Kluyveromyces lactis: one gene and its partners. The protein of the gene in region 2 interacts with the protein of the main gene of each other region in a pairwise test. Links are inferred from orthologs where the notes say so. Each region holds a gene or a part of one and is shown on either strand. Other genes may lie near its edges.

Evidence for each region. The genes of interacting proteins can lie anywhere in the genome.
Region 1: the proteins of DHH1 (region 2) and LSM4 interact in binary tests that used the Saccharomyces cerevisiae proteins (3 or more experiments, as listed by UniProt). The link is inferred for Kluyveromyces lactis from reciprocal best matches to the Saccharomyces cerevisiae genes DHH1 and LSM4.
Region 3: the proteins of DHH1 (region 2) and LSM7 interact in binary tests that used the Saccharomyces cerevisiae proteins (3 or more experiments, as listed by UniProt). The link is inferred for Kluyveromyces lactis from reciprocal best matches to the Saccharomyces cerevisiae genes DHH1 and LSM7.
Region 4: the proteins of DHH1 (region 2) and LSM2 interact in binary tests that used the Saccharomyces cerevisiae proteins (3 or more experiments, as listed by UniProt). The link is inferred for Kluyveromyces lactis from reciprocal best matches to the Saccharomyces cerevisiae genes DHH1 and LSM2.
Region 5: the proteins of DHH1 (region 2) and POP2 interact in binary tests that used the Saccharomyces cerevisiae proteins (3 or more experiments, as listed by UniProt). The link is inferred for Kluyveromyces lactis from reciprocal best matches to the Saccharomyces cerevisiae genes DHH1 and POP2.

What each region holds. Positions count from the first base shown.
Region 1 is NC_006041.1:1,854,710-1,859,006, forward strand, and holds LSM4 (U6 snRNA complex subunit LSM4), read left to right. Parts: upstream 1-1,677; coding exon 1,678-2,229; downstream 2,230-4,297. Other genes in the region: SBF complex DNA-binding subunit SWI4, read right to left, coding at 1-614; TMN3 (Tmn3p), read right to left, coding at 2,717-4,297. UniProt on the Saccharomyces cerevisiae protein: Component of LSm protein complexes, which are involved in RNA processing and may function in a chaperone-like manner. Component of the cytoplasmic LSM1-LSM7 complex which is involved in mRNA degradation by activating the decapping step.
Region 2 is NC_006039.1:1,451,251-1,457,155, reverse strand, and holds DHH1 (DExD/H-box ATP-dependent RNA helicase DHH1), read right to left. Parts: upstream 3,502-5,905; coding exon 1,957-3,501; downstream 1-1,956. Other genes in the region: PNP1 (purine-nucleoside phosphorylase), read right to left, coding at 1-753; mitogen-activated protein kinase kinase STE7, read left to right, coding at 4,461-5,905. UniProt on the Saccharomyces cerevisiae protein: ATP-dependent RNA helicase involved in mRNA turnover, and more specifically in mRNA decapping by activating the decapping enzyme DCP1.
Region 3 is NC_006041.1:2,036,590-2,040,811, forward strand, and holds LSM7 (Sm-like protein LSM7), read left to right. Parts: upstream 1-1,691; coding exon 1,692-1,703; intron 1,704-1,833; coding exon 1,834-2,154; downstream 2,155-4,222. Other genes in the region: ALF1 (Alf1p), read right to left, coding at 738-1,490; FUR1 (uracil phosphoribosyltransferase), read left to right, coding at 2,694-3,347; ARP1 (actin-related protein 1), read right to left, coding at 3,690-4,222. UniProt on the Saccharomyces cerevisiae protein: Component of LSm protein complexes, which are involved in RNA processing and may function in a chaperone-like manner. Component of the cytoplasmic LSM1-LSM7 complex which is involved in mRNA degradation by activating the decapping step.
Region 4 is NC_006042.1:854,147-858,411, forward strand, and holds LSM2 (Sm-like protein LSM2), read left to right. Parts: upstream 1-1,909; coding exon 1,910-2,197; downstream 2,198-4,265. Other genes in the region: GDI1 (Gdi1p), read left to right, coding at 168-1,505; KLLA0_F09229g (uncharacterized protein), read right to left, coding at 2,321-2,710; KLLA0_F09251g (PITH domain-containing protein), read right to left, coding at 3,008-3,775. UniProt on the Saccharomyces cerevisiae protein: Component of LSm protein complexes, which are involved in RNA processing and may function in a chaperone-like manner. Component of the cytoplasmic LSM1-LSM7 complex which is involved in mRNA degradation by activating the decapping step.
Region 5 is NC_006039.1:1,667,579-1,672,862, reverse strand, and holds POP2 (CCR4-NOT core DEDD family RNase subunit POP2), read left to right. Parts: upstream 1-1,872; coding exon 1,873-3,216; downstream 3,217-5,284. Other genes in the region: putative GTPase NOG2, read left to right, coding at 1-203, 684-1,418; BRE5 (Bre5p), read left to right, coding at 4,068-5,284. UniProt on the Saccharomyces cerevisiae protein: Acts as a probably catalytic component of the CCR4-NOT core complex, which in the nucleus seems to be a general transcription factor, and in the cytoplasm the major mRNA deadenylase involved in mRNA turnover.

The sequences.
Region 1 (4,297 bases), on a different chromosome or scaffold from region 2:
GGCATATCATTTGGATCAGGAATAAATTCTACAATCCTTTTGACAACCTTATTGTTAATATTGTATTTTTCCACCAGATATTTAGTCGATTCCCAGGGTATCCAGGTCCCCTGGAATCGTCCATAACCACCCTGAATCTTTTCATGTTTAATTTCATTGGCCTCTTTCTCCAAGATCTTGGTTCTCTGAGCCTTTGTAAACGAACCGGCTTTGAAAACTTGCGTTATGTTCAACCAATTATCGTTGCATCTTCTCATGATAAGGCATGGAGGTTTATCTTTGGTATAACATTCATATACATCAACGCCCGCGTATGTAGCAACTTCAATGAAAGTTTCCGATTCGCTGTCATAACCACTTGTCTCCGCCATAGTAGGTTCCTCACTGATTTTCTTTAAACTCCCATCGATCTGCCTTTCATCGATCATCGAAGAGGATGCTCCCGTGGATGAAGAAGAATTATTGGTAGCACCACTATTAGCTCCTAATAAATTAGAATTGAACGGTTTCAAAAGTGTATCATTCTCAGAATGATGATGAGTGCCCATGTGCATTTGAAGGATAGATTCCTTGTCAAAAACGTTGCCGCTATGATGCGACAAGTGTTGTTCCATAATTACACGAAAGAAATAAATGCACACGAAATCCTAATTGTTTTAGACAAAACAAAGCAAAGAAAAGCACGCCAGAGTCAACAAAGCGTTTCGAGTCGAGTGTCACCTTCTGCTGCTGCTTCTGCTTCTGCTCCTGGCAATGTGATCTCAAGCTCGCTCACTTTGTAAAATTCAACGTAAAATATACCACGCAGTTACGGTTATTCTAGCTTTTCCACCAGTGCCCAAAAATGTATCCAGATATCGGAGTAGCAGACCAAATCAATCTCAACTGGAATGCTCTGATATTTAGCTAAGTTCACGTAGCCTACAGACACTGTTAATAACAAAGGTATACACAAATCATAAATGACATTGTAAAGTGCGTGAGAAAGTCTGCTTTCAAAAGATTATAATCTTTATTTTAAACTGTGATCAAATCTCTTTACCCAATTGGGAAAAGAAAGATTAGATGCCTCACCAAAAAAAAAATCTCAGATCTCACATTTCAAACCTCACTCCAGTGTGTTCCCATATTCAAAGCTGAGGCAACCTTTCAAAACGCCTAGAAGGGTCCGTATGACACGAAGGAGTAGGGGGGCAGAAACAGTCTTAAAAGTGAAAAAATAAGAGAAAAATCAATAATCAGATTATATTCACGTGTCAGTATTACCCGGGACACTCACGTGATTCGAAACTTTTAAGTGTTACCCGGTAAATGAATTTTATGAAATGTCGAGAATGCTTTTTCCAGCTCAATGAAATTTGGAAAAACTGAAGTTATATTGTAATTGGAATTTAAATATTGTCAATGCAATTGTATGCATTTGGTTCGTCCTACTAGGGAGTGTTACATAACTCAAACTACAGATACGCAGATAAGCAACAAAGTCTAATTCATACTTTTTTCCCTCACATTTTTCCTTCTCCAGACAGACAGAGTCCTAATTTTTTGGTATATTGTATATTGTTCCGGCCCCACCCTTTCCTACGATTAAGTTACTACGGTTTGAGATACCTAAAGAAATACGACAGCACGGGCACACTATAATTGGTAAAACAGATCAATAAGTTATAACATAAAATGCTTCCATTATATTTATTGACCAATGCAAAGGGTCAAACAATGCATGTTGAACTAAAAAATGGAGAAACTGTGGAAGGTACGCTATCTGATGTAGACAATTGGATGAACTTGACACTTTCCAATGTCACTCATGTAGCTAGTGGAGAGACTTTGAAATTACCAAGCTTCTATTTGAAAGGTTCTTTCATCAAGTATGTTAATTTGCAAGATGATATCATAGACAAGGTAAAACAACAATGGGGTCAAAACAGAGGCGGTAAAGACGATAGAAGAAGAAATAACAACTACAATAATAACAATAATTATTATCAGAATAGGGATGGTAACAGAAGAGGTGGTAGAAGAAACTATCAAAACTCAGGTAACAGAAGGGATTACAACAACAACAATAATAATAATAATAATAATAATAACAATACTCACAGCCATAACAATGCAGGATCTCGTCGTTATAATATTCAAAATAGATCACAATACGATGCATCATCCAATCCACAGCTTTCGTATTCGCAGGCGTCAAACAATAGTAATCAAACTCCACAATTTTGATTTAACCTCTTTTCTCAGCATTTAATTCTTAAGTATTTGTGTGTCTACATGGTTACATATTCAATCACTTTTATTGCGGTTAAAGAGACTATTTTGTTGGCTTGGACGGTCAAAAGTCTATAAAAACATCTGTTTCGATTGCATTCGATGCGATATCCTAAACCTTTTTCTCGTTACTCCTTTCACACTTTTGAGATTTAAAACTGAATTTGGGTTATGAAATTAAAAGAACTACCTATTAATTATGATTCAGAGTTAGTGAACCTTAAGTTCAAAGCAGTATATCAGTGCTTTATATATTAAGAGTATGTGAGCATGGGTACCGTGGAAAAGATCAAATGTTGTTATTTTTTAAATTACTCTATACAAAAATGCTTGGTTTAGAAAGTCCATGCTAGATATGCAGTATTATATAGGAGAAATATGAGACTCCTGAAGAGAGCCGGACTTTTTTTTTTTGGCCTCACTTTAAATATAAGAGGCGAACTTATTTAGCCTTGTTATATTCATTCAGCTTACCGATGAACCACAATGAGCTTAGGTAACTTAAAGATCCAAATGCTGTCCAGCAGAGAATGTTGAATAACGTACTATAACAGACAAATAGGAAAGATGAGATGAAATCTCTGTATCTGGCAACAAAAATCAAATACAAAATAGAGTACGCTTCCATATACCATGCAACTGCACCACCCATATGAAATGCCTTCCATCTCCATGAATGACATGCTTCTAGAACCCTTCCTATAACGTTGTCCCATTTGAAATTCAAAGAATCATTACCATAGTTTAGATGAATGTAACAACCAATAATGGATAGAAGGCAGATACATATGCAAACGATAACAATATTACTCAAAAGGAATCCGTATAAGTAATACAGAGTAGTCTTTTGTAGCCAAAGTGATTTGTAAGCAAATAACAACTCCACGTATATTAGAGCAAATGGAATAAGTCCAAAGGTGAGAGTGATCGCAATAGGATTTTTTAAGACGAACGGAATAGAGTTCTTACTCTCAACGTACAAAGGCCTAGTGTCATGTTTGTTCACTTCTGCCAATGCAAAGCTATTAAGCAAAGTATTTGTGGAGTTAACTTTTAAAAACCTATCGGCACATTTCCCACCAATGATTGATATTGGAACGCAAACAATGAAATAAGCACCAAATAGTAATGCAACGGTACCATGGGGTAAAGTATTTGCAGCATTATTGGCCTTAAGTATGTAATTCAATAACAAAACGATAACCAAAGTAATTCCCGGTAGAGTTGATCCGAATATGATTGAATTGACCAATTTATGTTGAGACATTTGCCCCTCAAGTAGAGCACCGATGAAAGATGATGTAAAACTACCACTGATAAATAGGAATACTGCGCAGGTGAGTACAGAGCTGCCAATACGATGGGTATGATTCAATGAACAAGAAATAATCAAAGTTCCAAGAGTGGTGAAAAGGAAATGAATACCCATAGAAACGAGCAAATTCAACTGAAAGAATAAAGGAACTCTAGCCTTCGACCATTCCGCAGCTAGTTGAGTGGTAATCGAACCATCAGTTTCCTGTCTTTTCAAAATGGCTATGACGATCAAAAGCAAACATGAAGTGACAATTATACCATTAGCGAAAGTAATCCAATGGAATTGATTTGAAGTCGATTCCTTTAACTCTCCACCATTAATGAAGAAATTCCATCTGTTTTTCCAATCCACTTTGAAATCTTCTCTCCAATACACGGCATAAGTGAAGGAGATAAACTCAATATCCTCATTAGTTGGGTCGATCTTATAGGGAGTATAATCCTTGGAGGCGCCAGGACAGTGATGATCTGAAACGGATTTCGGATAGACCTCAAACCCAACAATGGTATTTTTGCCCTGATCGATGGTATGATAACGAATTACAATCATGACATGGTTATTAATATAGGCCTCATCAGTTTCTGGATCGTATTGACCCAGTGGGAACCCCGATGAATAGTATTTTTTCTTATCTTTGGTGTTAAGATACGTGGTAGCACCTGGTAAATCATCATCGGCCAACCATTGGACGACGTAATTCTGTTT
Region 2 (5,905 bases):
TAAGGCAAGTACTCTCCAGCCACAATGTCTAGCAGTAACAACCTCAGGAACAGTACTCATTCCCACAGCATCTGTACCAGCCAATCTCAAGAAACGTGATTCAGCTCTGCTTTCGAAGGTAGGACCATGAACGTATGAGTAGGTACCCTCATGGATCTTTCTTTCGATATTGAGCTCTTTTTTCTTTGAAAACAATAGCTTACGTAGTTCCAAGTCATAAGCATCACTGGTAGCCAAGAATCTTGGCCCAAATTCGTCAAAATTAGCTCCCCTTAGAGGATGGAACCCGCATAATCCTGGGAAATTGATATGGTCGTAGACACACATTAAATCCCCAGCCTTAAAGGAGGCATTGATACCACCGGCTGCATTTGTTACGATCAAGACATTGATTGACCCCAACAAGTGCAATGCACGGATAGGATGCACTGTTTCTGCTAAGGAATGGCCCTCATAAGAATGCAAACGGCCATTCATTAAGACGACAGGCGCACCGTTCATGTAGCCAAAGATCAACTCACCACTATGTCCAGGTACGGTGCTGACTTTGAAGCCAGGAATGGTCGAATAAGACAGAATCAATGGCTTTGGTTCATCAGCGATCTTGGTTGAGATTCCACTTAAACCAGATCCACAAATCACAAGAGCCTTTGGTAAAAACTCGGATGAGAAGTGATCCTCGAGTTTCTCTGAGATGTATCTGTGAGCAGACTTTATAAGAGCACGTTGCTCATTGATGTCAAGTGAGGACATGTTGGTTCGGTGAGTCTTACTGGGATCTTATTTAGTCCCGATTGGGTTTGTTTGGTATTATTATTTTGGTCTACCTTTTTATCTTAAAAATCATTTGATAAGCTTTAAAGTTTAAAATGCAGAGAGATGATAGAATGAAAGAAGATGATGAATGGGAAAGGTGCTCCAGAAATCTGATAAGAGAAAAAGTGTTATTTGACGATAAGACCGATACTGCCATAAATTGGCGTTGTTTTCAATCTGATTGCGTCTGTCACAACTCCGCAGAACTGCAACTCAACTGAATCAGTCTGTGTACAATTAAAATGCATTTATATACATTGTGGGTACATAAATTAGAACCTTACTGCACGTCATTTGCAGCACATGGTGATTCCCACAGATTTCACTTGAGCATATGTTTGGAGTTCTCACCCCCATGGTATTGACAGCCGTACTATCCAGGGACATAGCTTAAGTGATTCAACAGGCAACCATATACTAGCATAATAAGTTGTGCTGGTCGATATAGTAATATAAGACGGAGAAAAAAAAAAGAGAGGATAAGTAGATTGAGTAGATTGATTGGCTATATTGTATGATTGAGCCATCACGGTTAAGACCGGCCAGTTTAGTAATACTGATTCTTTTGAAATTATCGTAGTAGGACAGGCGATTGGAATGAATGGAGGAAGAAGCTGATTGATTAAATTTACAGGCGATAGCGCCTGAAAAAGAAAAAATGAAGGCATTCGTATTCCAAACCTGGGCATACAAGCAAAGGTGGGGAACAAAGTCCAGGAACCTTTAGTGGAATTCGTAGAGATGGTTAGTATTGAAACCCACGATTCATATTAATTCAGGGCAAAAAGAATAAGACCCTATAGAGCAACCAAATAAAGTGTGCTGAAAAAGTGCATTGATTATGATACATTTAGTTATAGTCAATTTTGGTTAATGTACAATCAACATTAGTGAGATTTTTGAAACGCGCAAGGATTGTCGAGTATTTGAAAATATTCAATAGCGTCTAGAGGTACAATATGCGTGGTATGTGGACAAAGCCTAATTTTTTAACAAATACAAAATAATGACAAGAACTGAAATTGGACCTGAATTTCAACTCATAGGATCGACTTGGGTTTTGAGTAGTAAAAGTGGGAAATTAAGATAAAAAAAAAAACTGCTCCGTTAGAAGCAAGCATTAAAACAATGCTTAATTCATTATTGAGGAGCTTGAGTGTATTGTTGTTGTGGGAAGCCTTTTGATGGGAAAGGTTGAGGTGGATAAGCCTGTTGTTGGTAGTTTTGCGGCATTAGAGGCTGACCATATTGCTGTTGTTGTTGGTTTGGGAATTGTTGATATTGTTGTTGTTGTTGTTGCTGTTGTTGTTGCTGTTGCTGCTGAGGAGGAGCATGGAATTGCACTTGAGTTTGTTGAGGAGGCAACGGTTCAGCATTTGCAGGTTGTTGGGGAGCATTTGCAGTGATTGGCAGGGATTCCAAAGGGAATGGGATTGGGACTGCGGAACTATCTTCCGCAACGTACAAGGATTTATCAATTTGAGATGGGATAGGAGCAATTTCGGTGTTTAATTCTTGCTCGATCTTGTACAAGTTGAATCTATCGTTCCAGTTAATCAAGTTGATAGCCAAACCCAAGTGACCGAACCTACCAGATCTACCAATACGATGCAAATAAGTTTCGGCAGTCTTTGGGAAATCGAAGTTAATGACCACATTAACGGCTTGAATATCGATACCACGAGTTAACAAATCGGAACAAACCAACGTACGAACTTTACCTTGGCGGAATTCATGGAAGACTTTGTTTCTTTCGGATTGTTTCATTCTAGCATGTGAGTAGTAACAAGAAAATCCTAATTCAGTAATTTTTTTAGCCAAAAGTTCGACACGGTTAGTAGAATTACAAAAGATAATTGCTTGGTTGATTTGCAATTTACTGAACAAAGTGTTCAAGCAATGAAGTTTTTGTTTTTCTTCCACGAATGCATAAAATTGTGATATACCCTTTAGTGTCAATTCATCCATCAAATTAATCTCATGAGGGTTTTTCAAATGCTTCACCATGAACTCTTTCACGGTGACTGGGAAAGTCGCACTGAACAAAAGCAGTTGACGACGTTCTGGTAAGAACCCAAGTATTTGTTCCGCCAACACTTTAAAGTCACGACTTAACATCTTATCCGCTTCATCCATAATGAACAAATGACATTCGCTCAAATCTGTCACTCTTCTTGATGCCAAATCTAGCACTCTACCGGGCGTACCCACCAAAATGTGTACAGGTTCATTTAATCTCATGATGTCATCTCTCAAATTCGTACCACCAGTGGTAACCATACAAGAGATACCACAGTGTTTCCCTAGCGTGCGCACCACTTGTGATGTTTGCAAAGCCAACTCTCTTGTAGGAACCATAATCAATGCTTGAATTTTGTTCAACTTGGGCTTCACTTTTTCCAAAGTTGGTATAACGAACGCTGCCGTCTTACCAGTACCGTTCTTGGCACGCGCTAATATATCCTTCCCGGCAATGGCAACGGGAATAGCTTCTTCTTGGATTGGGGAAGGCTTCTCAAACCCTGCTTCAAATATACCCATCAAAAGTTCTCTTTTCAAATAGAAATCTTCAAACGAACGACCCTTCGTGTTCAACACATCATCAGTCTGAGGCCTCGTATCCTTTTTAGGAATATTCAACTGGGTCTTCCAGTCGTTATTACTTTCGCTTGTATCGCTGCCCATATTATCAATTATCTTTAATATTCTTTGCAGATAAAGTTAAACCTTCTTAAATAAAGCTTCAATGAATTAGTCAATTAATAAAATTAGTCAATTAGTGTATATCCGGAAACTATGCTGTTGCTAATATCACAGAGTAGAATGTATAAATACTATACCTATGACCATAATACACATGTTATACTTTTATTTCCTCTTGTGCCTCTGTAATAATTGTTCAAATTAATTCTAAACTTCATAATTTTTTCTTCTTTCCAGAGTGGAGGGAAGAGCAATGTTACCCTACTGAAGCAATTACAAGTGCGGGTAACGGATATCACCCTTTTCACAAAATCCGAATTGTCACGTGATAAGAAAAGTGAAGACATGTCCGGGTAACAAATATGCCAAGGGCTAAGCTCAGCACCGTGAGGCTTCTCTATCACTTGTAGCGATAAGGTACGATGCAGTGCGAATAATGGGAATGCCTAGACAAAAATATATATAGATGTATCAGCGCATATGAGCGTACGTTGAAATGAGAATGCTCGAGGCAACTAGGCATTCCCATTACGTTCAATAGCAGAAGTGACTTCCTTTCATTTTCTTGTTCTATTCGTGGTTCCGTTGAGGACCACACTAATTTATCATGCACCGTATAAATAAAAAGTAGCGTAATAATTAAGTAATGATAAAGAAAGCCTATACAAGGCTAAGCAGTAACTCAGAAGAAGAAAGAGACGATTACTGAGGCAGCAAGGAGTGTTGCAAAGAGCCAACGTGTGTTGTTTTTTGGAACCTGGTGGGGTCTTTCTATTAGGGTTTCTAGTTGCATTTTAATTTTTGTCTCATTTTACAATCATCTGAGCCTGTAAGTTTGGCTTTGGTATTAATATCTATTATTGATCGTAAAACTTTAATATCTCCAAAGAGAAGAGGCGCAGAAAGTGGTGAACATTGAGGTCAGATTGACTTAAAAGCATATGATTACACGTACCCAAAACGGCTCGATGTTATTGAATCGAATAAACCATGAACCGTCGAATGATAGTGCAGAGGGATCGTGCAATAGTTTGTTCAAACCGAAGACTTTGAAACGGAAGAATTTGAAGCATTTGACTCTAGAATCATCATGTTCATCATCATCTTCCTCTCCTGACGAAATACCGAAAGGTTTTAGTAATGGAAATGGTCCAACACTCAGTTTGATGTTGGAGAAGCTTCCGGTCCGTGAGGAAATAAGTCCAATTAGCAGAGACACTTCATTCCAGACGGTTTCATTCCTTCAAGGGAGTTCTAGTACATCAGATATATCTTCCATTGTCAGCGGGACTACACCAACCACAAGAGATGCTCCAATGTCACTTACTCCTACAGGAGTCAGTATGATGCAACAGGAGACAGATGAAACGGCCACATTGACTACTCAGATTGCTCGACTTTCTTTAACCCCAGAGAACGGAATTCAACTCGAAAACCTTGTACGATTGAGCAAGATTGGAGCGGGAAATTCGGGTACTGTGGTGAAGACTTTGCATGTACCTGATTCTAGAATCATAGCTAAGAAAACTATACCAGTAGAGAATAAGGAAGTGCTGAAAAATCAACTTGTTAGAGAACTAACCATCATGAAAAATGTTTCAGCCCATGATAACATTGTTGGTTTCTACGGTGCATTTTACAATCCATCCACCACTAACGAAATAGTGATTCTTATGGAATATATGGATTGTGGCTCGTTAGATAAGATTTTGTCAGTTTACAGATCTGATTGCCATAGGAAAAACGTTTCTATATCGTGCAAGACATCGTGGTTCAACGAAATGCCTCTCTCAAGGATCTCCTTTTGTGTTTTAAATGGACTTATCTATCTTTATGACTGCTATAAAATCATTCACAGGGACATCAAACCGTCCAATATATTGATAAACTCGAAGGGAGACGTAAAGATCTGCGATTTTGGTGTCTCTACTACTCTAATTAACTCTCTTGCGGATACCTTTGTCGGAACCTCCACTTACATGTCACCTGAACGTATCCAAGGTGGCAGATATACTACTAAAGGTGATGTGTGGTCATTAGGTCTTATGATCATCGAGCTCAGTAGTGGTGAGTTCCCACTAGGTGGACATCACGACACACCAGAAGGGATTCTTGATCTTTTACAGAGAATTGTCAATGAACCTGCTCCAAAACTGTCAAAAAATGAACATTACTCCATAGAAATGACAGATTTCGTGAACAGGTGTTGCATTAAGGAGGAGAGAGGACGATCATCTTTGAAAGAATTGATATGTCATGATTTCATCTGTAAGTATAACAACAGAGACACTATTGCAAAAGAATTCAGGCATTGGTGCAAAAAAGTGAAGAAGCGGATCAAAGAGGATAAGATGATAAGAAGAGAAGAGACAGAGAGAAGTAAGAT
Region 3 (4,222 bases), on a different chromosome or scaffold from region 2:
AAAAAAAGATGCTCCTCAGACACAAGGTAATCGGTATTGTGTTATCTGCGTAAGTTGCAGACTCCCTGCATTGCACTCAACTAGGCATTGTCGTAAATGACAAGCTAAACTGTCCGTCCGTTGTCCCTCCCATGTCACGTGGTCTCCATTAGAGAAGAACTGGCGACTTGATTTATTATAACAACGACAATAGGGCTCAAGCTGAAGTTCCATTAGAAACAACCTTCTCACGAAGCGAAAATCCCGTTAGGGATTTGCTTGATTATAACTCACCGGGGGTTTGAACCCTCGGCGAGCGGACAGCTGCGTTCCACCGAATTTCCCACCTGGAATGAGGAGAACAACTCCTCTGATCAAGTAGAACATTCAAATCACATGACCTCTTCTCAAAACACTTCAAAGTAACGAGCATCCACCTTATACTTAAGAGTGAATATTCTTTGAAGCGCTTCAAGGGCTTAGTATGAAGTTGAGAACAGGAAATGAATTGCCATATTTGATCTTTTTGTAACCAGGTTCATATGAACAGAGACTTTGTGTTCTGAGGAAGATTCGAACCGAAGTCGCAACGTGGCCTTTTTACCAGCTACGGCACAACACCCGACTCAAACCAATTACGAATTCATTCAGTAGTAGACCCTGTCACGTGTGTGTCAGGTGTCATTTCCGTAGTTCAGAGTATCATCCACGAGGCCAAGGACGAGAATATAATTAAACTTATGTAAATTATCAACTCCCTATAACTCATCATCTGTGAGCATCAATTCATCGTCAGCTAATGGCGTGAATTGAGGACCTACTTCAACAACGGCAGGTCTCACAAACCCGCCGTAATTCTTTTTTACTGGTCCGAAATACTTCGTTCCTTGGAATGTACCATTGTTCTTACCGTCAGGTTCGTCAAATTCAATTCCACACCATACATCTGTATTACTGATCTCTTGAACTTTTCCCACGTATCGTAACCATCCTCTTCTTTCGGGGACCTTGGTGGAATCGGTCGTTGTTTCCTCGTTGGACAGTACTCTGCATCTTTCTCCAACGTGTTTTTGTAATAGTTCTGCCTTATCGATATTCAGTTGTAGTTGTTCTTCCATCTTAGAGCGGTATTCAGGATTAAATTTCCCTAACTTGTTATCTTTTTTCCATTGTAATACAGAATCCCTTCTGTTCTCATAATCGTCCATGGTGTATCGGAACGAAACGTCATCGCTATTAGCATGTAGCAAATCATTTTTCAATTGGCTTGCTAAACTGTTTTCGTTGGTGTCTATCACTTTTATGGACTGGATTTTCTCTACTTTCTGGTCTTTGAGATCTTTCAAATACTTGCTGTTCTGTGCATTGCCATTTATCACCAATTTCATGTCTTGAACATCAACACCGGTCAATTCGTTCAATCTTTGGCCCAGATGGTCCCATGATGTACCAGGTTTCACAAAGATCTGAGTGTTAACCAAATCGGATATAATTTCCACGTCAGATGACATTATCGGTGCTGATATATCCTCTGTTTTATTTTGTCTTCGATGCTGTAAGTTCAATGTTTGTCGTTTTGTCCAGGCATGTTTGAACATCGAATTTTTCAATGTTCCGTAAACTTAAATGAAAAGTTAATTTGAAACCAGTAACACACTTTGACAATAACCCATTGAGCAAACAGCGCTACCCCACCCAACCAACTACTAATAATGAGCGAAGCAGTATGTTAACTACTATAATTAGGACGGCTTTCTAAAACTTCTTCAACTTTCTCAAAACAATGATCCATTCTACATTTTAAGTTCAAATTTACTAACAGTTAGAGAGTTTATACATTCCCCTTCTCTGCAGAGGCAATCACAACAACCGAGACAAGAGCAGAAGAAGAAGTTCGAAGGCCCAAAGCGTGAGTCTATCATAAATCTTGCACAATATAAGGACACAGAAGTACGTGTCAAGTTCATAGGGGGAAGACTGGTCACTGGAATCCTAAAGGGTTATGACGAGCTAATGAACTTGGTTCTTGACGAAACCGTCGAATATGCAAGAGACCCAGAAGATGAAACCATCATCCACAAGGACCAAGCCAAAAAAATTGGTTTGGTCGTCATAAGAGGAACAGCTCTACTTTCGCTATGTTCCCTCGAAGGTGCTGAGATCATCAATACCTAGTTAAGACCCAAAAAAAAAAAATTTCAAGCAACAGTGTACCATATATGTTCATTAATAGTGCTATATAACGTTCAGTGCTATATCAAACTCACACTATGAGCCCATATCCACATTTCTACCTGTATCTAATGAAATAAGTATCTCCAACGGAGATACTTTCCTAACCGGCTACATCTCACTTATCAAGACCTAATCTGCACAAATGTGCGTTCACGTGACTTATTGAATCTTTTTTCTAACATCAGCAAAGCTTTTTGGTTAAATTTCGACCAAAAAACCGTATCTCATCGCATCGACTGATTAGAGAGATATCTTGAATTCTTTAAACCGACTGCGTCCAGGTGTTCATTTATATATATGTGAGTATATATCTCTTGTGAGAGTTGTTCTTTTAACGTTTCAAATTCTCTTTTCGCTTGTTGCTGCAAATCTGTTTGAATAATATTTTCTGTAGTATTCTTACTCTTTACTGAAGACCAATCAATTAGCGCATCAAAGCGAACTTCACTTAGGTTTATCTGCTGCTAAAAGAAAATAATATGAGTTCTACACAACCATTTCCTAATGTCCATCTATTGGCACAATCGAAGCAGTTGCTTGGCTTGTACACTATCATCAGAGATAGCCTTACTAAGAGATCTGATTTCATATTTTACTCTGATAGAATCATCAGGTTGTTGGTCGAAGAAGGTTTGAACCATTTGCCAGTAACTCCAAAGACTATTACCACTGACACAAACCAGAAATTCGAAGGTTGTTCCTTCCTAGGTAAGATTTGCGGTGTTTCTATTGTAAGAGCAGGTGAATCCATGGAACAAGGTTTGAGAGACTGTTGCAGATCGGTTCGTATTGGTAAGATTTTGATTCAAAGAGATGAGGAAACTGCTATGCCAAAGTTGTTTTATGAAAAACTACCTGAAGATATCGCTGATAGATACGTTTTCTTGTTGGATCCGATGTTAGCTACTGGTGGTTCTGCTATCATGGCTACCGAAGTGTTGATTCAAAGAGGTGTGTTGCCAGAAAGAATCTTCTTCTTGAACTTAATCTGTTCCAAGGAAGGTATCGATAACTACCATGCTAAATTCCCAAATGTCAGAATCGTTACCGGTGCTATAGATGCAGGTTTGGACGAAAACAAATATTTAATGCCAGGTTTGGGTGATTTCGGTGACAGATACTACTGCATCTAAGCAAACTCTATAGAATTTCACGACCTGACAACTTGCACAATCGCCGTCTTGTCCATTCATTTACGCTAATGTCCCTCGCTTATCGTTGTTGACCATTATTGTTTACGTACTTGCTTAGAAAAGTAAATTGTTAAAACTCAATGCAATCATAACTCAAAAACAGCAATTATAATACTTATGTTCTCGCATCTTTTTTCACTTTAAATAATCTCTTCGTTAATGTACTCTCAGTTTTATGGCATTTACACCTTTCCTCTTTGCATTGAAAGCGTTTAAAATAGTTATGATAGATTATATATCCTTGTTGTCTCGTTTGTTGACTTGTTTTACCGTGAATGTTTTTCATAGGAATCTGGCGTGTACGCATCTTGGATTTTCTTCCCACTCCTTTTTTGTCACCCATATCTTTTTGAACGTTGATAATCCAGAGAGTATCGATCCTCCAATCCATGTGCTATATTTTCTTTCTGGTGGTGCGAATATCTTGATTTTTGTCTGCGGTTCGCAACTTAACTTCAACTCCTTTAGAACTCTATCACCAAAACCTGGTATCATTGTAGTACCACCGCTGAATACTATATTAGAAAATAGTGATGTTCGTAAATCTAGATCTACTTTTTGTATACTTTCGTATAGTATTTCTGGCAAGCTTTGGAATTCTGAACCGATTAACTGAGGATTGAATAAAATCTCTGGCGCTCTGAATTTCTCATTATCAAGTTCAATCTGTTTCCCATCTGGCAGTCTGAACATTGTTTGTTTTCCGTGCATTGTGTAGTTTTTCTCTTCTTCTTTCGGATCCAATGCTATATAGCACGCTTTCTCTTTGATGATTCGAACGATCTCTCTTTCGCTACTCGAAAGCAAGGAAACCC
Region 4 (4,265 bases), on a different chromosome or scaffold from region 2:
TTGAAAATAAAGAAAGTGCGATTGTTACAATAAAAATAACAATAATAGGGAGGATCATAGTATTTAGCAAGAAAACAATAACGACTTCAAACGTAGGGCTACCTTCAACTAGATAGGAAACGTTGGACCTAGTTCATAGAACGTCGAATTGACAAAAGCTTGTAATAATGGACGAAAATTATGATGTTATCGTCCTTGGGACAGGTCTTACCGAGTGTATATTATCTGGCTTACTCTCAATCGAGGGGAAAAAAGTCTTACATGTTGACAGACAGGACCATTATGGTGGTGAATCATCCAGTGTCACATTAACGCAACTATACTCTAAATTCAAACAACATCCTTTGAGTAAGGAAGACATTGAGTCAAAGTTTGGCAAGGATAGAGATTGGAACGTGGATTTGATTCCTAAGTTCTTGATGGCGAATGGTGAATTGACTAACATTTTGGTTCATACTGACGTCACCAGATATATCGAGTTCAAGCAAGTTGCTGGCTCGTACGTTTACAACAGAGGTAAAGTATATAAAGTTCCTGCTAACGAAATGGAGGCTATTTCATCTTCTTTATTGGGTATCTTCGAGAAAAGAAGGATGAAGAAGTTCTTGGAATGGATCAGTGCATACAATGAAGAAGATATCGCCACACATCAGGGCTTAAACTTGGATCAAAACACTATGGATGAGGTATACTACAAATTTGGCTTAGGAAATTCAACCAGAGAATTTATTGGACACGCAATGGCCCTTTGGACCAATGACGATTATCTGCAACAACCTGCTAGACCATCAGTGGAAAGAATTATCCTATATGTGCAATCGATTTCCAGGTTTGGTAAATCTCCATATATTTACCCTATGTATGGGTTGGGCGAATTGCCTCAAGGATTTGCTAGATTATCAGCTATTTACGGTGGGACATACATGCTAAATACCCCAATTGAAAAGGTTTTATACTCAGACGATGGTAAATTCGAAGGTATTGTCACCAAAGAAGGTACTGCAAAAGCACCAATAGTCATCGCAGATCCAACATACTTCCCTGAGAAATGTAAAACTACAGGTGAAAAGGTGATCAGAGCAATTTGCATCACTAAACAACCTGTTCCTAACACTAGTAATGCTGATTCTTGCCAAATAATTATACCACAATCACAAGTTGGAAGAAAGAACGACATTTATATTGCTACTGTCTCTGACGCCCATAAAGTTACTTCGAAGGGTCATTACCTCGCCAGTGTATCAACCATCATTGAAACTGATAAACCTCATATCGAATTAGAGCCGGCTTTCAAAATGTTGGGCCCAATTGAGGAGAGGTTCATGGGTATTTCAGAAATCTTTGAACCGATCGAAGATGGCACTAAAGACAACATTTACATCTCTAAATCTTACGATTCCTCATCTCACTTCGAATCCATGACCGACGATGTCAAGGATATCTACTTTAGGATTACTGGTCACCCCCTTGTTTTAAAGAAGAGAGAAGATGTTGCAGAGGAGTAAGTGAGAACTACGAGATAACCGTGATGCTAACTTTTGAAAATATCGTACCTTCACGTACTTCTACGTACTTTTACGTTACTTTCTTGTTTCGTTACAATCTTTATCATTATCATTTTATTTTTGTCTATTTACTATCTAGCCCCACATATTAGCTTGAATGTTTTGGCAATAGTTTTATTTCAGCAATCGACGTAAAAATATCCCAGCTAGTCCTCTTAAGTCCAGCAGCTTCTCTACTTCTACATATGAAGTTGTGTATGTCAATTTTGTACATGTATCTTTTTTTTTTCCTTCAACATGAAATTGTTTAAAACAATTTCATGTTGAAATTTGACAATACAACTACAACACATTCAAAAGTCAAATGCATGGACCTCTGAACCAAGGCCGTACTGTCCAGAACCATGCTATTATTTTCATTTTTCAAGACCCTGGTTGATCATGAAGTCAAAGTCGAACTAAAGAACGGTATTGAACTAACAGGTACTCTAAAATCAGTCGACCAATTTTTGAACTTAAAATTAGACAACATTTCGTCCAACAATAATGAAAAATATCCACATCTATCAAGCGTGAGGAACATGTTCATCAGAGGTTCTACTGTGAGGTATGTACATTTGAAGAAATCTATGGTGGATACCAACCTACTTCAAGATGCAACCAGAAGAGAATTAATGAGTGAAAGAAAGTAAACGAAAGAAGCAGCGAAAAACAGGGTTCCTGCTGCAGAAAGGAATAATTTATAACTGTTAAATATCATTCGAGTCTACCACTCTCACACTATTCACATATGTAATAATAGAACACATTACCTATCATGGTGGAACTCCCAAGAGTTTCTTCTCACATTTTGATCGGAGGTGTCCAGTTTCATTGCAATAAGAACATTTAATGTTGTTAGCTTTAGACTTTCGTTTTCCAAATTTGGCTTGTTTAGGAGTTCTTTGTACTGGAATTAGAGCATATTCTTGACCGTCTTTCTGAATAATCTCAATTTGTTTCGAAATCATTTTTGAGAACTTCTCTTTATCCAGTTCAACGGATGTAATCATCGAGATGAGCTCATCAACGTTCTTCAGTTTGTTCTCGTATTCCTCTTTTAAAGACGGGAGAGTCGACTGCTTTTTTTGGGACTGAGATAACACTAGTTTGGCTAGTTGATCAAGCGCCTCAGACTGTTTAATAATCTTGTCTGCATCCGCCATGATAGAGCTTGTGGTCACTGGGGTTATCCGATACCACACTTCCTACTCTGGTGGTCCTGAATTTGATCCTATCTCTCTATCGTTCTTTTTTCACTTAGATTCCATAGTGAAAGTGAAAATAAAAAACGACATCGGACAGGGACGGATGTGACCCCGTGAGAAGAGGTGGAGTCGCATTTCCTTACGACTATATGCTCATTTCAACATACGAGATATACATATATACCATGCAACTATTTTTAGGTTGATTTGTCTTACTATCACAAACTTTTCTTTGTTCTTGAACAGAACTGCCCTTTACGAGGCGTAATTAATAGTTTGCGATTCCAATTTCACATCAGCAGGGTTCGGAGCCGCCTCATACACTGCAACAATTGGAACTCCTGAATTTCTTAGTTTCCCTGTCGCTTCACCTCTTAACTCACAGAAATATAATCTATTAAGGTCATCCTCATCACCCGACCAGTTATCCTTCACTAAGACAGTCAAGTTCTCACAATTCTGGAAGATATTCCTTGGCAAGTCAAACTTGATAAATGTGTCATCATCAAATAATGATTCATTATTATAATCTGGTTCAATACCGACGTTGTCTGGAAACTCGACGGTGTACTCCGCCTTCAGATCGTTTATGGTATCAAAGTCCAAATTCTTATTGTAGTTCTTATACAACTGAATGTGTCTTGGTGTACTATACCCTGATCCACCCTTGTTAACTCGTAATATAATTGCAAATATTTTAACAGATGCAGTAAAGGGAATCTGAAGTAACACTTGACAGTCTGCGTCTGACTCTAAGTAAAGGGAAGTATTATACTTCTCATCTTGCGGCTTCAAAAAGCTTTTTGAAACCAAACTTGACCTATCATTGCTAACTCCATTCAGGACTTGTACTTTTGTCATGTCAATATGTGTATATAGGGACTGGTTAGAGAACGTTTCTGCAGGTGGTTCATGAGAATGTCCATGATCGTGGTTATGACCATGTCCGTGATCATCGCCATGACTGTGACCGTGGTCATGGTTATGAGAATGCAACTCGTCTTCACAACTGAAGCCTGACATTGTGGTTATATAGACAGATAACTTTTGCTCTTGTTATTCTATTCTGGCCATTACATTCACTTTTTAAACCATCCTATCTCATCTCATCAAATCACATGAAATTCTTACTATTAAATACCTTAATCTGTAAATGAGAGTTACAGGAGAAATAAGGGTATAGACATAAAAGCTAAACTGAGATACGTATAATTAGAAACAAAAACACTCAATGTTACCTGATCCTTTTTTAGAATACCCCCGTAAGCATTTCGTGTTCTGATACCCGTCGGTCTGGCATCTATCGTTAAGTACTTCGGCAGATCCATAATATGAATAAATTCATTATCCAATACAACAAAAAATAACTAACACAATTCAAAAGTTCTATAGTTTGAAGAACCAAACCACCAGCAACCTAAATAAAATAAAGACGGCAGCCTGTGTGCAAGTGCATTTTTGAATACCTAAACTGTATTTACTCATAAAGAACCAACTTAAAACATGCCAAGCA
Region 5 (5,284 bases), about 220 kb from region 2:
TCCACAAAGGTCAGTCGAAACGTATTTGGAACGAATTGTACAAGGTTATCGATTCCTCCGATGTCGTCATCCACGTATTGGATGCTAGAGATCCTTTGGGGACTCGTTGTAAATCGGTGACTGATTACATGACCAATGAGACTCCTCATAAACATTTGATATACGTCTTGAACAAGTGTGATCTTGTTCCTACATGGGTTGCCGTATGTTTTAAACTTTCTTTTTAATCTTCAGTGATTACTACTAACCGATTATACTTTCTAACTGGGAGTGAATACCACAGTATCTTGAGAATACCAAAATTCTTTGTCAGGGTGTTTCTGCGTACATTCTAGTACAACTTACACATACAGAAGGGCCTGTTACAGTTTTGGAAGAGCAATACTACCCACCCTCGATCTATCCATCGTTTTGATGGAGTCATGGTTGAAACCTAGTTGAACAATCTTCGTTTTGAGGATATATCAGCGCTTTTATTTCGGGTACGGAGGAACTTAAGAGTTGAGCTTTGGATCTGAAAAGAATTATTATGCCATGGCTCGTAGTAAAGAACCTCACATCACCACTAATATACTCAATACAGCATGGAGTCAACCCCCAGTAGAAAGCATAATTGGTTATTGATTCACATATGTGATTACAATTTTACTAACACGATTTTCCCTATTTTTGATTCTCAACAGGCAGCATGGGTAAAACATCTATCGAAGGAACGTCCCACATTGGCATTCCATGCCTCTATTACCAATTCATTTGGTAAGGGTTCGTTAATTCAACTTCTACGTCAATTCTCACAACTGCATAAGGACAGACATCAAATCTCTGTTGGGTTCATTGGATATCCAAACACCGGTAAATCCTCAATCATCAACACTCTAAGGAAAAAGAAGGTCTGTCAAGTGGCACCTATTCCTGGTGAAACTAAGGTGTGGCAATACATAACTTTGATGAAGAGAATCTTTTTAATCGATTGTCCCGGTATTGTACCGCCATCCAGCAAGGACAGTGAAGAGGATATTCTATTCAGAGGTGTGGTAAGAGTTGAACACGTTTCGCATCCTGAACAATACATTCCAGGTATTCTAAAACGTTGTAAGAGACAACATTTGGAAAGAACCTATGAGATCTCCGGATGGAAAGACTCTGTAGATTTCATCGAAATGATTGCAAGAAAGCAAGGTAGACTATTGAAAGGTGGTGAACCAGATGAAAGCGGGGTATCGAAACAAATCTTGAACGATTTCAACAGAGGTAAGATCCCATGGTTCGTACCACCACCAGAGAAGGACAAGATTGAGGAAAAGGAACCTGGTGATAAGAAACGTCCTGCAGAGGAAAATCAAGAAGATCAAGAAGAGGAAGAGAAGGAGCAAGAGGAACAAGAAGAACCTGTTTCTAAAAAGGCCAAAAAGGAATAAACCAAACACTTCCTCAATATTTAATTCTCTCCAGACACGGGCATCGCTTTATATATAGACACACCATATACAATCTTATCGGATCTATCGTTTTTGTACATTAATATCAATCGGATGACTTAGGCTAAGTCTTGCACATAGAAATTTATTAAATAAATAGTAGAAAGGCTGGATAACACCGAACGTTGTGAAGCATGCAGATCAGGGGCAGAAACACTGGACAATGGACCCATTCGGGTCCACTGTCCATTGAGAAGTGGTGCCAGTGGTAATATCAACACCGTACACAATGACATTTCCCTCGAAAATTCTGTTTCTGCCAAAGAGGAACGAAACAGGAAAGCCTTTAGCATTAGATAAGGAAGAGACAGAGACATATATGGTTGGAATACGATTCAATTCTGATTTAAGAGTTGTCATTTAGGACTACTCCAGTAAGTACGATAGAATTTTAATGCAATCTCTTAATAGTCAGCTCGGAGGATTGCCAAATTCGGAGCAATTTTTCGGGAAGGGCGCTGTTCAGCAGCAAGGGCCAGTTGGGATGAACGGGATGCTTTTCTCCCCTTCTATGAATAGTACTCGTATGATGCCTCAACAGTCGCAACAACCACATGTGCTGCATGGGCTTGAGAACAATGGGGGTCTTCAAAATTCGTACTTGTTGAAACAGAAGATGGATGTGGTAAACAGTGCTTTTGGGCAGCAAAACAACTTACAGCAGCAGCAGCAACCGGGAAAAATGCCGTTGCCGAATAATGGGCAAGTTCCTATGATGATGCAGAACAGCATTTCCGGTGGTAACTCTAATAACAATACGATTCCACAGCAGATGCAATTTCCAATGCCGGTACAACAACAGGCAATGGGAAACGTGAACGGGCTTGATACAACACCATTACCTAATGCATCTCATACGCCAATCTCGTCTCCAGCGCATCTTTTGATCAGAGAAGTGTGGCAAAACAACGTAAACTTCGAGTTTGCCATAATCCGTAAAATGATCGAGCAATACAAAGTTATTTCTATAAGCACCGAGTTTGTCGGTACGATAGCGAGACCCATTGGGAATTTCCGCTCAAAGACAGATTACCATTACCAGACGATGAGATCCAACGTGGATCTACTAACCCCAATCCAGATTGGACTTTCGTTAAGCGATTTACAGGGGAATAAACCAGACAACTTCCCATCCACATGGCAATTCAACTTCCATTTCGACGTAACAAAGGAGACCGTGAATTCGGAATCGTTAGAACTATTAAAGAAATCCGGTGTCATCTTGGAGAGACATCAACAGAACGGTGTTGATTTCGACGAGTTTGCTCAGTTGATGATGGATTCCGGGTTATTGTTGAACGATGAGGTCACGTGGATCAGTTACCATGCAGCATACGATTACGGGTTCTTAATCAACAGGCTCATGAACACAAACATGCCCAACAACAAAGAGGACTTCGAATGGTGGGTTCAGAAATACATACCAACGTCGTACGATTTGAACCTAATTAACAAGTTAGTTCATGAGGTAACGCAACAACACCCACATCCACCACCATTACATCTATTACAAAGTCAACAGCAACAGCAACAAAACCAACAACAGCAATATACACTAGAACTACTGGCTGACGAGTTGGGGATTCCGATCTTCCCATTGTTCAGCAGCGCAGCGGGACAAAGTCTCTTGGCACTATTGGCATACACCCAACTCGGTAAATTGTCTTTGTACAAACTACGCAATGGAACAGATTTCAGTTACTACAAGAACCTGATCTACGGAATCACACAGGAGTAATATATGTGATTTTTATGTGCCAGCCTTTCATATAGAGTATCATCAATAATGCATTTATGTATGTGAATATATATATATACATACACAATCATTCTTAAAATAGGGTATAAAAGGTGGCTGACTAGCCACCGTCACTGAACTGAACTGATGCTGACCAGTGCGAAACCCACAGGTTGCAAGAGCGCAACCTGTGTACTTCATTCACCTGGCATCTCGTGAGGCATGATTTCATAAGATGATTGACGAGTTTTCCATTAAAAAATTTTGAAAATTGACTCTTTACATATAATCACTAGATGCAAACATGCACATACTTTGCTTGTGAGGGGCGTTTCTTGTTGTTAGGGTGTCTATTTGGTTCGCTTATCGGTTTTCATGCATTCATTAGAAACCAGACTTTAATCTTTAGCGATAAGTTTGAAGCGTGAGGCACATATACGGTGTTCGTAGTGCTGAAATTTCCCGTGAGTCTGGAAAAAAGCACCCATAGGAAATTAATACTTTTTTGTTATTGTATTCTAGTATACCCTATACTTTCCTGCTTGAATATCCACCGTTAATACACTTGGATTAAAACGTTGTTAGAGCGTTATTAGAGCGTGCTTTTCCCTTCTTTTTTTTTTTTTTGTTTGACAGTTTTATTTTTAATTCATTCAAAGGTCTTTCTGATTGACAACGATTGACTGTATTGCATTCATTTCATACACTTTAGCATTCCAATTTGATTTTTTGATACCCGCGATCGGTTTGAAATTGAGAGTTATCAAAGAATAGTTGAATTCTTTTACAAGAACCAGTGTGTTTTTTCCTGTTTAGATTAATTTGATACAATCACATTTGGTTTGGAAAATATGACCACTTACGATGTGAAAGAGATCGGATATGCGTTCCTAAGGACGTACTATGAACGTATGCATAATGATCCATCGAAATTGTCGTGTTTATATTCTACCACGGCGGAATTGACCCATGTGAATTATAATGAACCTATCAAGCATGACAAAGATTATTTAAACACCGTCAAGTTGATTGGTAAGGATAACATCAACAATTTCTTTACCAGAAACAGCAAGCGTGTACAGGATTTGAAGGTCAAGATTGATTCGTGTGATGTGCAATCTACTGGGTACGAGAGTTCTTCGATTCTGATATTGATATTAGGGGAGCTATGCTGGACGGATTCACCATCTTACAGATTTTGTCAGTGCTTTATCCTGGAACCAGCAGAGTATAACAGTAAAGTCTACGATTTGAAAAACGATATCATTCGTTTCATTCCTGACCTTGCTCCATTAGTGAACCCAGACCAGCCAGTATCACCACCATCTGCTGTTGTTGTTGAAGCTGAGAATGAGAAGCCAAATGTCAACGGGGACGCAGCTCCTGTTTCTGTTCCTGTATCTGTTTCTCCAGTAGTGGTAAAGGCAGCAGCGAAACCGGTTGAGATTGTCAAGCCAATTCCAACTGAGAAGCAACAGCCCTCTACTGCTCCAACGGAAACAAAAGTGGAACAACCCCAAGCCGTTTCAGTAAATAAAACTAAACCTAAGGAAAATGAGGCGATTGCGCCAGCTACTGCTCCTGCTGCTATTGCAGAAAAAGAAAAAGAAGACAAGGAAGACGAAGCACAAGCACAACCAAAAGAGCAAGCGACTTCAGCATCAGCCACCCCAACCTCAACGACAACCCGTTCTGAATCGGTGCCCCCACAAGAGGTTCCTGAAACAGAAGTCACCCCAAAGGCTGAACCAGTGAAAATGACTTGGGCAGGCAAACTCAACAAGACATCTAAACTAACTACAAACTACATCAAGGTAGATCTTCCACAAAAGAAGTCTAAAAGTCCACCTCCAAACGGATTCACCAAGTCAAACAAGAAAAGCAAGCAGCAATCGAAACCAATAGGCGACGTTATCATCCAAAACAGCAGCGGTTTCTACCCAGTATACGTGGGTAACACAAATGGGTTGACCGCATCCGAACTTGAAAGAGCTCTAATAAAAGAATACGGTGATGTCGTAAAAACCTCATTCCAAGATTCGTTCGCTGTGGTTGATTTCAGAGAAAA